Linked DNA regions of Xenopus tropicalis. The protein of the gene in region 1 purifies or fractionates together with the protein of each later gene. This does not show direct contact. Links are inferred from orthologs where the notes say so. Each region holds a gene or a part of one and is shown in the gene's direction. Other genes may lie near its edges. The genes, in order: atp6ap2, V-type proton ATPase subunit S1 and ccdc115.

Evidence for each region.
Region 2: the proteins of atp6ap2 (region 1) and V-type proton ATPase subunit S1 purify together in Homo sapiens (affinity purification with mass spectrometry; 5 studies listed by BioGRID and IntAct, counting the BioPlex papers as one, with this or other methods). This does not show direct contact. The link is inferred for Xenopus tropicalis from reciprocal best matches to the Homo sapiens genes ATP6AP2 and ATP6AP1.
Region 3: the proteins of atp6ap2 (region 1) and ccdc115 purify together in Homo sapiens (affinity purification with mass spectrometry; 3 studies listed by BioGRID and IntAct, counting the BioPlex papers as one, with this or other methods). This does not show direct contact. The link is inferred for Xenopus tropicalis from reciprocal best matches to the Homo sapiens genes ATP6AP2 and VMA22.

Annotation. Positions count from the first base shown.
Region 1 is NC_030678.2:56,959,159-56,963,194, reverse strand, and holds the start of atp6ap2 (renin receptor precursor), read left to right. Parts: upstream 1-1,191; 5' UTR 1,192-1,220; coding exon 1,221-1,257; intron 1,258-4,036. UniProt on the Homo sapiens protein: Multifunctional protein which functions as a renin, prorenin cellular receptor and is involved in the assembly of the lysosomal proton-transporting V-type ATPase (V-ATPase) and the acidification of the endo-lysosomal system.
Region 2 is NC_030679.2:70,223,440-70,227,630, reverse strand, and holds the start of V-type proton ATPase subunit S1, read left to right. Parts: upstream 1-1,364; 5' UTR 1,365-1,425; coding exon 1,426-1,526; intron 1,527-4,191. Other genes in the region: iqub (IQ and ubiquitin-like domain-containing protein), read left to right, coding at 1-94. UniProt on the Homo sapiens protein: Accessory subunit of the proton-transporting vacuolar (V)-ATPase protein pump, which is required for luminal acidification of secretory vesicles.
Region 3 is NC_030684.2:595,349-599,521, reverse strand, and holds the start of ccdc115 (coiled-coil domain-containing protein 115), read left to right. Parts: upstream 1-1,363; 5' UTR 1,364-1,448; coding exon 1,449-1,571; intron 1,572-1,697; coding exon 1,698-1,801; intron 1,802-3,157; exon of another isoform or gene 3,158-3,310; intron 3,311-3,491; exon of another isoform or gene 3,492-3,805; coding exon of another isoform or gene 3,806-4,173. Other genes in the region: U3 small nucleolar ribonucleoprotein protein IMP4, read right to left, coding at 1,231-1,233; uncharacterized protein LOC116406687, read left to right, coding at 3,806-4,173. UniProt on the Homo sapiens protein: Accessory component of the proton-transporting vacuolar (V)-ATPase protein pump involved in intracellular iron homeostasis.

The DNA of each region.
Region 1 (4,036 bases):
AGGTGTGAACTCTGTACTGATGCCATTTAAATCTTACACAAAGGTAAGCAGTCACAGCAGCCAGACAGGTGGGGGGCCACACAGAAGGGGGTCGCGGGCCGCCGGTTGGACAGCACTGCTTTAGACGATTCGTCAGTTTATCAACACATGTATGGGACCCCCCCAATCGATATCTGGCTGAAAATCGACCTGCGTGTCCTCTTCCCATTGCTTGGTATGTGGGCAAAATTTTGGTGCGGCTGGGTGGCATGCTGCCCCTAAATTTCTGCCACCCTAGGCCAGGGCCTTTGTGGCTTTGTCACAAATCCAGGTCTGGGCATATTGTGAGAAGATCCGCTCATTTGGCAACCTCGTAGATGGCCATCTTTGGCCTGTGATCACCCATTCCCACCCCCAGCTGTCAACTGAAGCCTGATTGTAGTAGGAGGGTGAACCATACAGTAGAGCCCATGGGCCTTTCACAGTGTGCTGTATAGTAGATGCATCACTGCTCACCTGCTACCCTTTGCATTACAGGAGACAGTTATCAAATGTGTATAATTTGCTTAACACTTTTATTTTAGTGCTGGTTTAGTACTGGAAGCTTTGGTAGCAATGTTTCATTGCGGGTGAAAGAATCCACAAATGTAGAAAGCCTAAAGTCACTAACACCATAAATGTGTTCTCATATAAAGCTCTGACTAGAGACTGTCACTCCTCTTATTGCCAGTAAAGTACTAGTTTAATCTGAACAAATTACCTACGTTCTCCAGTGATGCAAAAGGCAGATACAGCCAACACAGAAAGTAACTAGAATTTATCCTATCTGCTATATTGTCTAATTTCTATGACCATTCCTTTTAAAACCAGAATTTAGCTTTATAAAGGTCTATTCCCTTATCTGTAACGTAACATATTTCCATTAGGAACTAGACGCGAAGCCTAAATGCCACCATTTCATTTCACTCCCCAGCCATTTCCTCCACCGCCCTCCTTACCTCCCATCTCTGAAAGGGCAAATGAAGTGTCAGTCATTATATGTGCCTTCCTATTGCTTAGTTGTCACATGATATTGACAAAGGCGGGTCAACAATGCACTAGGCTTTCTCGGATTGGCTACACCGGGTCTTCGGAAGCGGTTCACCAGGAAGAATACCACCACCTTCAAGGATTTTGCAGAGGGATGTTATAGTTCTCCATTTAGTCGTTCGAATTTGGCTGAGGTGTTGCCTTCCGAAATCATGCTGCGCCTCGCCCTCGCTGCCCTTGTACTAGCAGGTAATGTAAAGGGATATAGCTGTTACACACTGCCATATTACGCTTGTATGTGGTAGCTGCTGGTTCTGCATAGTGAGCCTGGCTGTTGCCATGTACTGGGCTTGCTCCTTATGTTAAGATTCGCTTTGATTAATTTAAAACTAAAATTTAAACAGTATTAGTATAATAGTACTAGAATAGTATGGATATGAGAAAAAGGAAGTAAATCCACTCAATATTATACAACCATGATATGGAAATTACTGTAATGAAATATGTGAAATATCTGTGTTAAATCTAACAGAATGGGTTACCATATTTTCTCGAATAAAATGGTTTTAAGCATCATTTTACCTGCCAGATGGCAAGTTATTAAAGAAGCTGAGAGGGAGAGAACCACAGGCTGTATGGCCCCCCTGACAGTTTATGGCCCCCAGCCCCCCAGTGGCTCAGTGCATTTTATTGTTTTCTTATAATGTGAACCCCCAATAGTGGATTATCAACCCCACTGGATTGGTTGGTTTATGCAGCTCTCCTGTGATTCAGATTCATAATTCTTATTTATTATTAACAACGATTTCAATGTAAAATTGTACCTGATTTGTCACTTGAAAAAACAGATCATTTTGAAAAGGGAAAGTAATCATGGGATGTTTCACACTGCAGTTTGGCTTACTCCCTTTTTAAAAAAATATTTGTAAATCAAATTACTTGTAATAATAATATGTATATATATTTGTATATAATATGACTTATATTCTGTTTAATAGAATGTGCACATAACCGATATATAGAGAGCGGATACAGGCAGAATATCTGTGGGGAGAGTTTGGTGAGGCTGCATGTGACTGATTTTGCAAGCGTCACATGATTTGCCTTCCTACTGCTGGAACGGAAAGATGTTACACACAGCTCCCACTGTGGAGACATCTTTTGTCGGTGTGCAAATATTAATAGAGTTTATTACTATGTTGCCTTTCCTAAACATTATCTAGTATGTGTAATTTGTTGACAAACATTGGAGGAATGAGAAAATGATCAGACATTATAAATGATACATCTTTATTGTATTTACTTTTCCATACATTTACCAACCACAGAAACATGAAAGCCCCCTCCCCTTTACATGAGCCATATGAGGAAGTCACCTACATAACCCCTTTGTCCTGACCTTTTTAAATCGATCTGCTGTCATTAACATTATAGGGAGCAATGTATGCCCTATTGTAAATATGATAGTAGAGAGTAGTCTTGGATGGGTTACATTATTTAGTTAACATGCTTCTGGATATCTGATCAGGTTAGATCAGTGATCCCCAACCAGTGGTTCGTGAGCAACATGTTGCTCCCCAAACCCCTTGGATGTTGCTCCCAGTGGGCTCAAAGTAGGTGCTTATTGTTCAATTTGTAGCTTAGATGCAGGTGTTGATTGACCCAGTGTAAAGCCAAACAGAGCCTTCTATAGGCTGCCAGTCCACATAGGGGTTACCAAATAGCCATTTATAGCTCCTATTTGCACCCCCATTAACTTTTTCTATGGTTGTGTTGCTTCCCAACAATTTTTCCATTTGAATGTGGCTCACGGGTATAAAAGGTTGGGGATCCCTGGGTTAGATGATCATACATTTAATTTACAATTGCTACATGAAATGGTTAATAAGCCCCATTGTTAATTATTTGTTTGTCAGATGTAATTATTCAGTCCAGTAGCTGTAAATTCTTGTACCCCCAACCATAAAATATAAGGATATTATAAAGAGTTTTATTACAATATAAAGAGGCTGAAGTCCACTAAGTTGACTAATAATATCATCATCTTTAAAAGCAAGGGGTATATGATATTGTTATATTAACTGTGTACAAGTTTCAATTGACTAAGTGACATAGATTTCATCTCTAAGCACTGATATTAACTGGTGACATCACTAGGCACTGTGTATGAGGATACAGGTATGGGACCTGTTATCCACAATGCTTGGGACCTGAGTTTTTATGGATAAAGGGATATTTCCATAATTTGGGTCATCATACTTTGTCTACTAAAAAATAACATATAAACATTAAATACACCCAATAGGATTACGTTGCCTTCAATAATGATCTTAGTTGGGATCAAGTACAAGGTACTGTTTTATTAGAATAGAAAAGGGAAATCTTTTTTAGAAAATTTTTAGAAATTATAAATATTTGATAAAAATGGAGAGATGCACTTCCTGTAATTGGAGGATTTCTGGATAATAGGTTTCCAGATAAGGGATTCCATACCTGTATAATTTATTTGTGTATTATATCATTATACATGATGGATACAGTGGCTGCTGCACTCTCTGCCTTTGCTCATGTCCTGTCTGACCACATAAACAATCGCTAGACAAGTTTAGAATGAAAATGCATTAGTCCCCAGAAAGAGTTAAGCAGTCAAAATGTGCTGTTTGTAGTTCATTGCAGTTGTGACAAAGGTAAGTGGTTAGAATAACCTGGGTTTTACTTGCAATTTCTTGAGTGATCCAGTAAAGGGCAAAAAGTCAAGAGATACAGGGACTCTTGTGCAGATATGTGAGATGTCCTTTGTTATTTAACACATCTTCTAATAAATTATTCACAAATGTATTTGCTAATGTTAAAAAACACCCTTATTAACATAAGCTTATTTTTTTGAGCTAATGTATAAGAAGTGTATAAGTGCTATACACTGGTAATTTTTTTTTTTAATAGACACTTATGACTCCTCAGATTGAGAGGAAACCATGATAGTTACAGAGCAGAAACATTAGTCACTTAGTGCTCTTCTTATGATAAA
Region 2 (4,191 bases), on another chromosome or scaffold:
CAAGAACTATTTTTCCCAGATCCCAGAGATGGCACCATTTCTGAATGCAGAGATGTCTAATAAGAATCCTGCAAAAAATGATCTTATTAATTAATTAAACCATTTCAACACTTTCCTGTGTTTAGGTTTTACATCTGAGGCCCTGGGCACACGGAGCAGTTTGTCTGCTTCTCTCAGTGGAATATGACTTGGTGGTATCTGACAGAATGCTGGCAGTTCTTCTTTCTGCCTAAGTGTGCCATTTTTACTGCTATAGCTTGTTTTTGACACAACACTGTGAATTCTTCTGTTAAAGATGCCATTAAATAATTCTAAAAAATGTTATAGTTGCAACTTAAGTAAGACATGCAAACAAAATAGTTTTATACATCTTTATTGGGGATCTCCACCCAATAATTATATAATATGTAACTCTAAGCAGCTTTTCAATATACACTGATTAAATAATTTCATGGCTTTTGTGTTATTTGCAAATTAAATTGCTGTTGATAGCAGTATTTGTTCCCTTTCTGTTCGCTGGGTCTGATGTAACACAGTGTAACAGTAGTCTACTCCAGGTCTTTTAATCTGCTTTTATCAAGTGGTTTGCAACACTGTTTCAGGAGTCAGAGTCAATAGTGCAGAGAATGTAAACAGTCAAATAGATACTGGAGCATAAAAATCGTACAGGTATGGGGCCCATTATCCAGAATACTCGAGACCTGGGGTTTTCTCGATAAGGGATCTTTCCGTAATTTGGATCTCCATACCTTAAGTCTACTTAAACATTATTTAAATATGAAATAAACCCAATAGGCTTGTTTTGCTTCCAGTAAGGATTAATTGTATATTAGTTGGAATTAAGTACAAGGTACAGTTTTATTATTACAAGAAAATGGAAATAATTTTTAAAAATTGGAATTATTTGCTTATAATGGAGTCAAAGGGAGATGGCCTTCCCGTAATTCAGAACTTTCTGGATAAAGGGTTTCCAGATAAAGGATCCCATACCTGTACAGAGCTTTACCAGTTTCTAGAAATGCTAAGGCCAGCTTGGGGAGCAACAGGCAAGAGCAGCATTTAAATAGGTGCAATGAACTATATAAATGAAATATACCTGTACCTGTATCAAATATTTTGAAATATATTCAATGTATTTTTAATAACAATGGCAGCTGTTATTACACCATCTATTCTTTAGCAACCACAGTAAGACACAGATCATTTTCTACAGAATCTTCCCCTTTACAGCCCATAAGAATTTACAACAGCATTTAGACAATGCTGTAGTTAATCACATGCTTCACATGTGTTTGTTTACATAAAACAAAAAGTGTTTTGGGTAAAACAGGTGCATCTGATTGGACTGGTTTCTCTTTATCTCTGTGAAACAGCAGAAGAGCAGAGTGAAATCCAAGCACAGTTGTGTGCTGCCTTTTTGCCAACATGTTGCTGCCTTTTTGGCTTCTTCTCTGCCTTTGCTTTGCCTTTATCTCTGCAGTGATGCCTATGAGTCATGTTCCTGTACTAATATGGTCAACAGAAAGGTAGGAACTTAAATTAAAGGTTTTTGTTTTTTTTAATATAGCGTATATCTAATGAGATAGGATAGAAAATGCTGAAAATGACTAATAAAGCATTAGTAGCATGACATTACATTAGTAGGACATTAGAGCATGTAGTTATAACATTTTTAAAGCAATATTTCATCTGTAGCTTTATTAGCTAAGAAAAACCAAGGTCACTAAAATGTCTTTCTCAGTCAGGAATTATTGAATGGTAATTTTACTTTATTGAAGTCTAAAGATGAACTTTTATTTTATCTAAGCAATGCAGACTGATATCTTGGTGCAAAATAACCAATATCTGTATGTTAAAGGTGATAAAAGAAACTAAAGGTAAAATAAATGTAGCTTGTTGGATTAATTGGATTTCTTTTGCCCTCTAAGGGGTAGGTATACAAACTGCGTTTCTGGTCCCACTAGGGGGGACCGAAGCAGTAGATATGCTATTGTAAGAAAAATTAAGGGTGGATGTCAGTTTCTTTGCTGGCATATCAGGTACCCTTCAACTTCTTGAATGTGTATGTTCTGACGGGCATGGGATCAGCATATTTAACATTTATGTGTGGATATCCCCTTTATGTGTGCCATGACGGTCTTATCCTGTGCCTATCAGTGCACACACATTTAGTAAAAGGAAGGCAGCAGATATACCTGCAAAAACACTGAGCTATTTGCCATTAGCCCAATAAGTAGTGTTGCACACATTTTTATAGGTCTGCAACCTTGTTTCATAACTCAGAGTCAGAGTGGCAGCTCTGAGGCAACAGTGTTTGATATAGATTCAGTGCAAGTCATTTAGAAAATGTGTTGAAAAAAAAAAAAAACTGTGAATGGGCCGTGATGTAATGATGTTAAAAACAGTAATTTGTTCTCTCAGTAAAGAACATTTTAATAAACAATTTGCATGATTAATATGTGCTAATACGTTATTTCAACATCATACATTTTCACTTGCCTTTGTCCTACGCTGTGTAAGGAGCTAGGGTTTAAAAAGGCATGTGTAAACACTGATTTTTGGTGGAGGGGGTGGTTCAATTCTTTAAATATTTATTAAGCTGTATTGTTGATAGAAAAAAACGGAAAGCAACTGTTAGAAGATAAACAGTAGAATATAGCTAGTTAAACAGGGTTTGTTGCAAATTCAGGAGACTCAAGTGCTTAGCCATCCTATTACCGGCTCCCACCTAAACTAGTGGTGATCTGCATATATACATAGCAGACCCGTTGGTCTTGGGGGGCCCGGGCAGCATGGGGGGGGCACAGTTGTGAGAGGAAGAATATAGTTTGCAAACGGAATGTTAACTCTTTTTCTGTTAATATTCATATTTATTTCTTCAATGTGAGTGAGCAATTACTAAATGAGATCAGTCTGCATTGCTTAGATAAAAGTATATTTAGGGCAATGTGAATAATTTTACACTATGAGCATACATGCAAGCATTATTCAGTTGATTTTTTATGAACATCACTGATCACCTGTGGACAAGCCGAGAGAGAGGTATGATTAAAGGGAAATGTGAAAGAAAAAAAGAAAAACCATTTCCTTTACTTATGCTGTGATTGATCTGACAGCCCTTCCCCCAGCCAAAGTGAATCTGGAAATACTACATTCCCAGGAATACATATTCCTAAAACTTAACATCCAACAGCACAACCAAGCTGAATCCAAGTACAACAAACTGTAAGCAAAACAACTAATATTACAACTAATATTACAACATACACACAATTGCATACAAAACATGAATACATTTAGCATTAAATGTTCAATAAATGTACTGGATTATAATTATTATTGTTTTTAGTAACACATATTTATAAAGGGCCAGCATATTCTGCAGTGGTGTTCAACAGATGGGTGCATACATCAGACATAAAGGTTATATATAAATATAGACTGATACAAAAATTAGGGTAAATCTTTACAATCTAAAAGAATAATCATAGATTATGCTATACATAAAGCTAAATGTATCTGCATATCTATATTTAGTAAAACATATGGGGGCCACATAATGTTTTTCTCAACCAAAGAAAACCTTCTGTAAACTCCAACTGAACACTGTCCCCCGTGGTCAAATAATGTTGAAAGTGTGTAACAATCTGGTTAGATGGCCGAACCTGATGCATGCTTTTCTTTTTTCAACCTTATCTACTCATTTACTTTTACAAATGCAGCAAGCAAAGAGCCATTTTCCACCAGAATTTCATCATCATTGTAGTTGCAAGGGTGTGCTGTGCTTGGCACAGTTGCTCTGCGCCTACTGCAGTTGCTCTGAATCAACCAGTTACCTCAACTGCACACATTTCAATGCAAATCAGACACAATTGCGCAGAAGACCATCCAGCATCATTTCCAATGTTCTGAGTGTGAGTGACGTCTGTGCCCCTATTGCCCAGGTGCAAGTATGCTGCACCTATTGATGCTGGCCATGAAGGGAACCCTGCAGCTACCACCTGGCCAGGAGGTGGCAGTAACTCTAAGGTTCCGTGCATCACTAGGTGCAGCAGCACTTAATTTAGAATAGAAGGCAGAAGGGACTGAGCAGTTCCAAACGCAAATATACGGAAGTGCTTGATCAAGTGTGCTAAACTGAAACAGGCCTTTTAAATAATAAAGGACACCAAAATTAAAGTAGTCACCAGA
Region 3 (4,173 bases), on another chromosome or scaffold:
CCAGTACAGCACAGCATTATGGGTAACTATGGGGCTCCCCCGCACCCCTATTACCCCCAGTACAGCACAGCATTATGGGTAACTATGGGGCCCCCCGTACCCCTATTACCCCCAGTACAGCACAGCATTATGGGTAACTATGGGGCCCCCCGCACCCCTATTACCCCCAGTACAGCACAGCATTATGGGTAACTATGGGGCTCCCCGTACCCCTATTACCCCCAGTACAGCACAGCATTATGGGTAACTATGGGGCTCCCCCGCACCCCTATTACCCCCAGTACAGCACAGCATTATGGGTAACTATGGGGCTCCCCGTACCCCTATTACCCCCAGTACAGCACAGCATTATGGGTAACTATGGGGCCCCCTGTACCCCTATTACCCCCAGTACAGCACAGCATTATGGGTAACTATGGGGCTCCCTGTACCCCTATTACCCCCAGTACAGCACAGCATTATGGGTAACTATGGGACTCCCCGTACCCCTATTACCCCCAGTACAGCACAGCATTATGGGTAACTATGGGGCTCCCTGTACCCCTATTACCCCCAGTACAGCACAGCATTATGGGTAACTATGGGACTCCCTGTACCCCTATTACCCCCAGTACAGCACAGCATTATGGGTAACTATGGGGCTCCCTGTACCCCTATTACCCCAGTACAGCACAGCATTATGGGTAACTATGGGGCTCCCTGTACCCCTATTACCCCCAGTACAGCACAGCATTATGGGTAACTATGGGACTCCCTGTACCCCTATTACCCCCAGTACAGCACAGCATTATGGGTAACTATGGGGCTCCCTGTACCCCTATTACCCCCAGTACAGCACAGCATTATGGGTAACTATGGGGCTCCCCCGTACCCCTATTACCCCCAGTACAGCACAGCATTATGGGTAACTATGGGACTCCCTGTACCCCTATTACCCCCAGTACAGCACAGCATTATGGGTAACTATGGGACTCCCTGTACCCCTATTACCCCCAGTACAGCACAGCATTATGGGTAACTATGGGGCTCCCTGTACCCCTATTACCCCCAGTACAGCACAGCATTATGGGTAACTATGGGGCTCCCTGTACCCCTATTACCCCCAGTACAGCACAGCATTATGGGTAACTATGGGACTCCCTGTACCCCTATTACCCCCAGTACAGCACAGCATTATGGGTAACTATTACATTACGGTATTGGGGGGTATTGGGGGCCCCTAACACTCACCATGGTTGCGCTGTTCCGACCCCACGTGTAGCCCCTGAGAAATACCGGAAGAGAACCCCGGAAGTGACCTCACTGCGCCCCAAAGAAAGATGGCCGCCAGTGACGAACAGGAAGTGGTTTCCGTGACATGTCCCGGCTCTGTGCTTCCGCGTTGGGCAGTCATGTGAGTGGGTAGGAAGCACAGAGGGGCCCGGGAGTGAGTGAGTGAGTGGGTCGGGATGGGGTCGGACACGGAGGTGGCGCTGCTGTGCGGGCGGCTGGATGCGCTAACACTGCGCCTGATGGAGGAGCTGGAGAGTCTGCGGGACAAGCGGGAAGCGCTCAACCAACACATTGAGCAGGTACTACAGCTCCCAGCATGCACCCCGGGCCCCTGGCTGATTGGCTCATACCTACCTGCCGGGGGGGGGGGGGGGGGTGTATGTTCCCCTAGTGCGCTCCCCGTGTAACCCTTTCCTACCCCCCAGGGCTGGCTGTGCCTCTCCCAGGCCCGATACTCTATGGGGAACAAGCGTGTGGGCTCCCTGCACTACCGACCCGACATGGCGCCCCTCACCCTGGTACAGAGCCGGTAAGTACCCCCATGCATCTGCCCCCCCATGCATCTGCCCCCCCATGCATCTGCCCCCCCATGCATCTGCCCCCCACCCTGGTACAGAGCATGTTAGTACCCCCTATGTATCTGCCCCTCACCCTGGTACAGAGCGGGTAAGTACCCCCCCATGTATCTGCCCCCCCTATGTATCTGCCCCCCCTATGTATCTGCCCCTCACCCTGGTACAGAGCATGTTAATACCCCCTATGTATCTGCCCCTCACCCTGGTACAGAGCGGGTAAGTACCCCCCTATGTATCTGCCCCTCCTATGTATCTGCCCCTCACCCTGGTACAGAGCGGGTAAGTATCCCCCTATGTATCTGCCCCTCCTATGTATCTGCCCCTCACCCTGGTACAGAGCGGGTAAGTACCCCCCCATGTATCTGCCCCCCCCTATGTATCTGCCCCTCACCCTGGTACAGAGCATGTTAATACCCCCTATGTATCTGCCCCTCACCCTGGTACAGAGCGGGTAAGTACCCCCCTATGTATCTGCCCCTCCTATGTATCTGCCCCTCACCCTGGTACAGAGCGGGTAAGTATCCCCCTATGTATCTGCCCCTCCTATGTATCTGCCCCTCACCCTGGTACAGAGCGGGTAAGTACCCCCCCATGTATCTGCCCCCCCTATGTATCTGCCCCTCACCCTGGTACAGAGCATGTTAATATCCCTATGTATCTGCCCCTCACCCTGGTACAGAGCGGGTAAGTACGCCCCCTATGTATCTGCCCCTCCTATGTATCTGCCCCTCACCCTGGTACAGAGCGGGTAAGTACCCCCCTATGTATCTGCCCCTCCTATGTATCTGCCCCTCACCCTGGTACAGAGCGGGTAAGTACCCCCTATGTATCTGCCCCTCCTATGTATCTGCCCCTCACCCTGGTACAGAGCGGGTAAGTACCCCCCTATGTATCTGCCCCTCCTATGTATCTGCCCCTCACCCTGGTACAGAGCGGGTAAGTACCCCCCTATGTATCTGCCCCCCTATGTATCTGCCCCTCACCCTGGTACAGAGCATGTAAGTACCCCCCTATGTATCTGCCCCTCACCCTGGTACAGAGCATGTAAGTACCCCCCCTATGTATCTGCCCCTCACCCTGGTACAGAGCATGTAAGTACCCCCCTATGTATCTGCCCCTCACCCTGGTACAGAGCGGGTAAGTACCCCCCTATGTATCTGCCCCCCTATGTATCTGCCCCTCACCCTGGTACAGAGCATGTAAGTACCCCCCTATGTATCTGCCCCTCACTCTGGTACAGAGCGGGTAAGTACCCCCTATGTATCTGCCCCCTATGTATCTGCCCCTCACCCTGGTACAGAGCGGGTAAGTACCCCCCTATGGATCTGCCCCTCACTCTCACCCCCTTCTTACCCCGTGTGTCTGTGTGTTACTCTGTATTTACTGTACTGCACTGGGGCAGAGAGATCCGTCATTATTATATCAATGCCCCACCCCTTCCCATTGGCTGCTGGGGCAGAGAGATCCCTCATTATTATATCAATGCCCCGCCCCTTCCCTTCCCATTGGCTGCTGGGGCAGAGAGGTCCCTCATTATTATATCAATGCCCCGCCCTTTCCCTTCCCATTGGCTGCTGGGGCAGAGAGATCCCTCATTATTATATCAATGCCCCGCCCCTTCCCATTGGCTGCTGGGGCAGAGAGATCCCTCATTATTATATCAATGCCCCTTCCCTTCCCATTGGCTGCTGGGGCAGAGAGATCCGTCATTATTATATCAATGCCCCGCCCCTTCTCTTCCCATTGGCTGCTGGGGCAGAGAGATCCGTCATTATTATATCAATGCCCCGCCCCTTCCCATTGGCTGCTGGGGCAGAGAGATCCCTCATTATTATATCAATGCCCCGCCCCTTCCCATTGGCTGCTGGGGCAGAGAGATCCGTCATTATTATATCAATGCCCCGCCCCTTCTCTTCCCATTGGCTGCTGGGGCAGAGAGATCCGTCATTATTATATCAATGCCCCGCCCCTTCCCATTGGCTGCTGGGGCAGAGAGATCCCTCATTATTATATCAATGCCCCGCCCCTTCCCTTCCCATTGGCTGCTGGGGCAGAGAGATCCCTCATTATTATATCAATGCCCCTTCCCTTCCCATTGGCTGCTGGGGCAGAGAGATCCGTCATTATTATATCAATGCCCCGCCCCTTCCCTTCGGCTGCTGGGGCAGAGATCCGTCATTATTCTATCAATGCCCCGCCCCTTCCCTTCCCATTGGCTGCTGGGGCAGAGCGATCCCTCATTATTATATCAATGCCCCGCCCCTTCCCATTGGCTGCTGGGGCAGAGAGATCCCTCATTATTATATCAATGCCCCGCCCCTTCCCT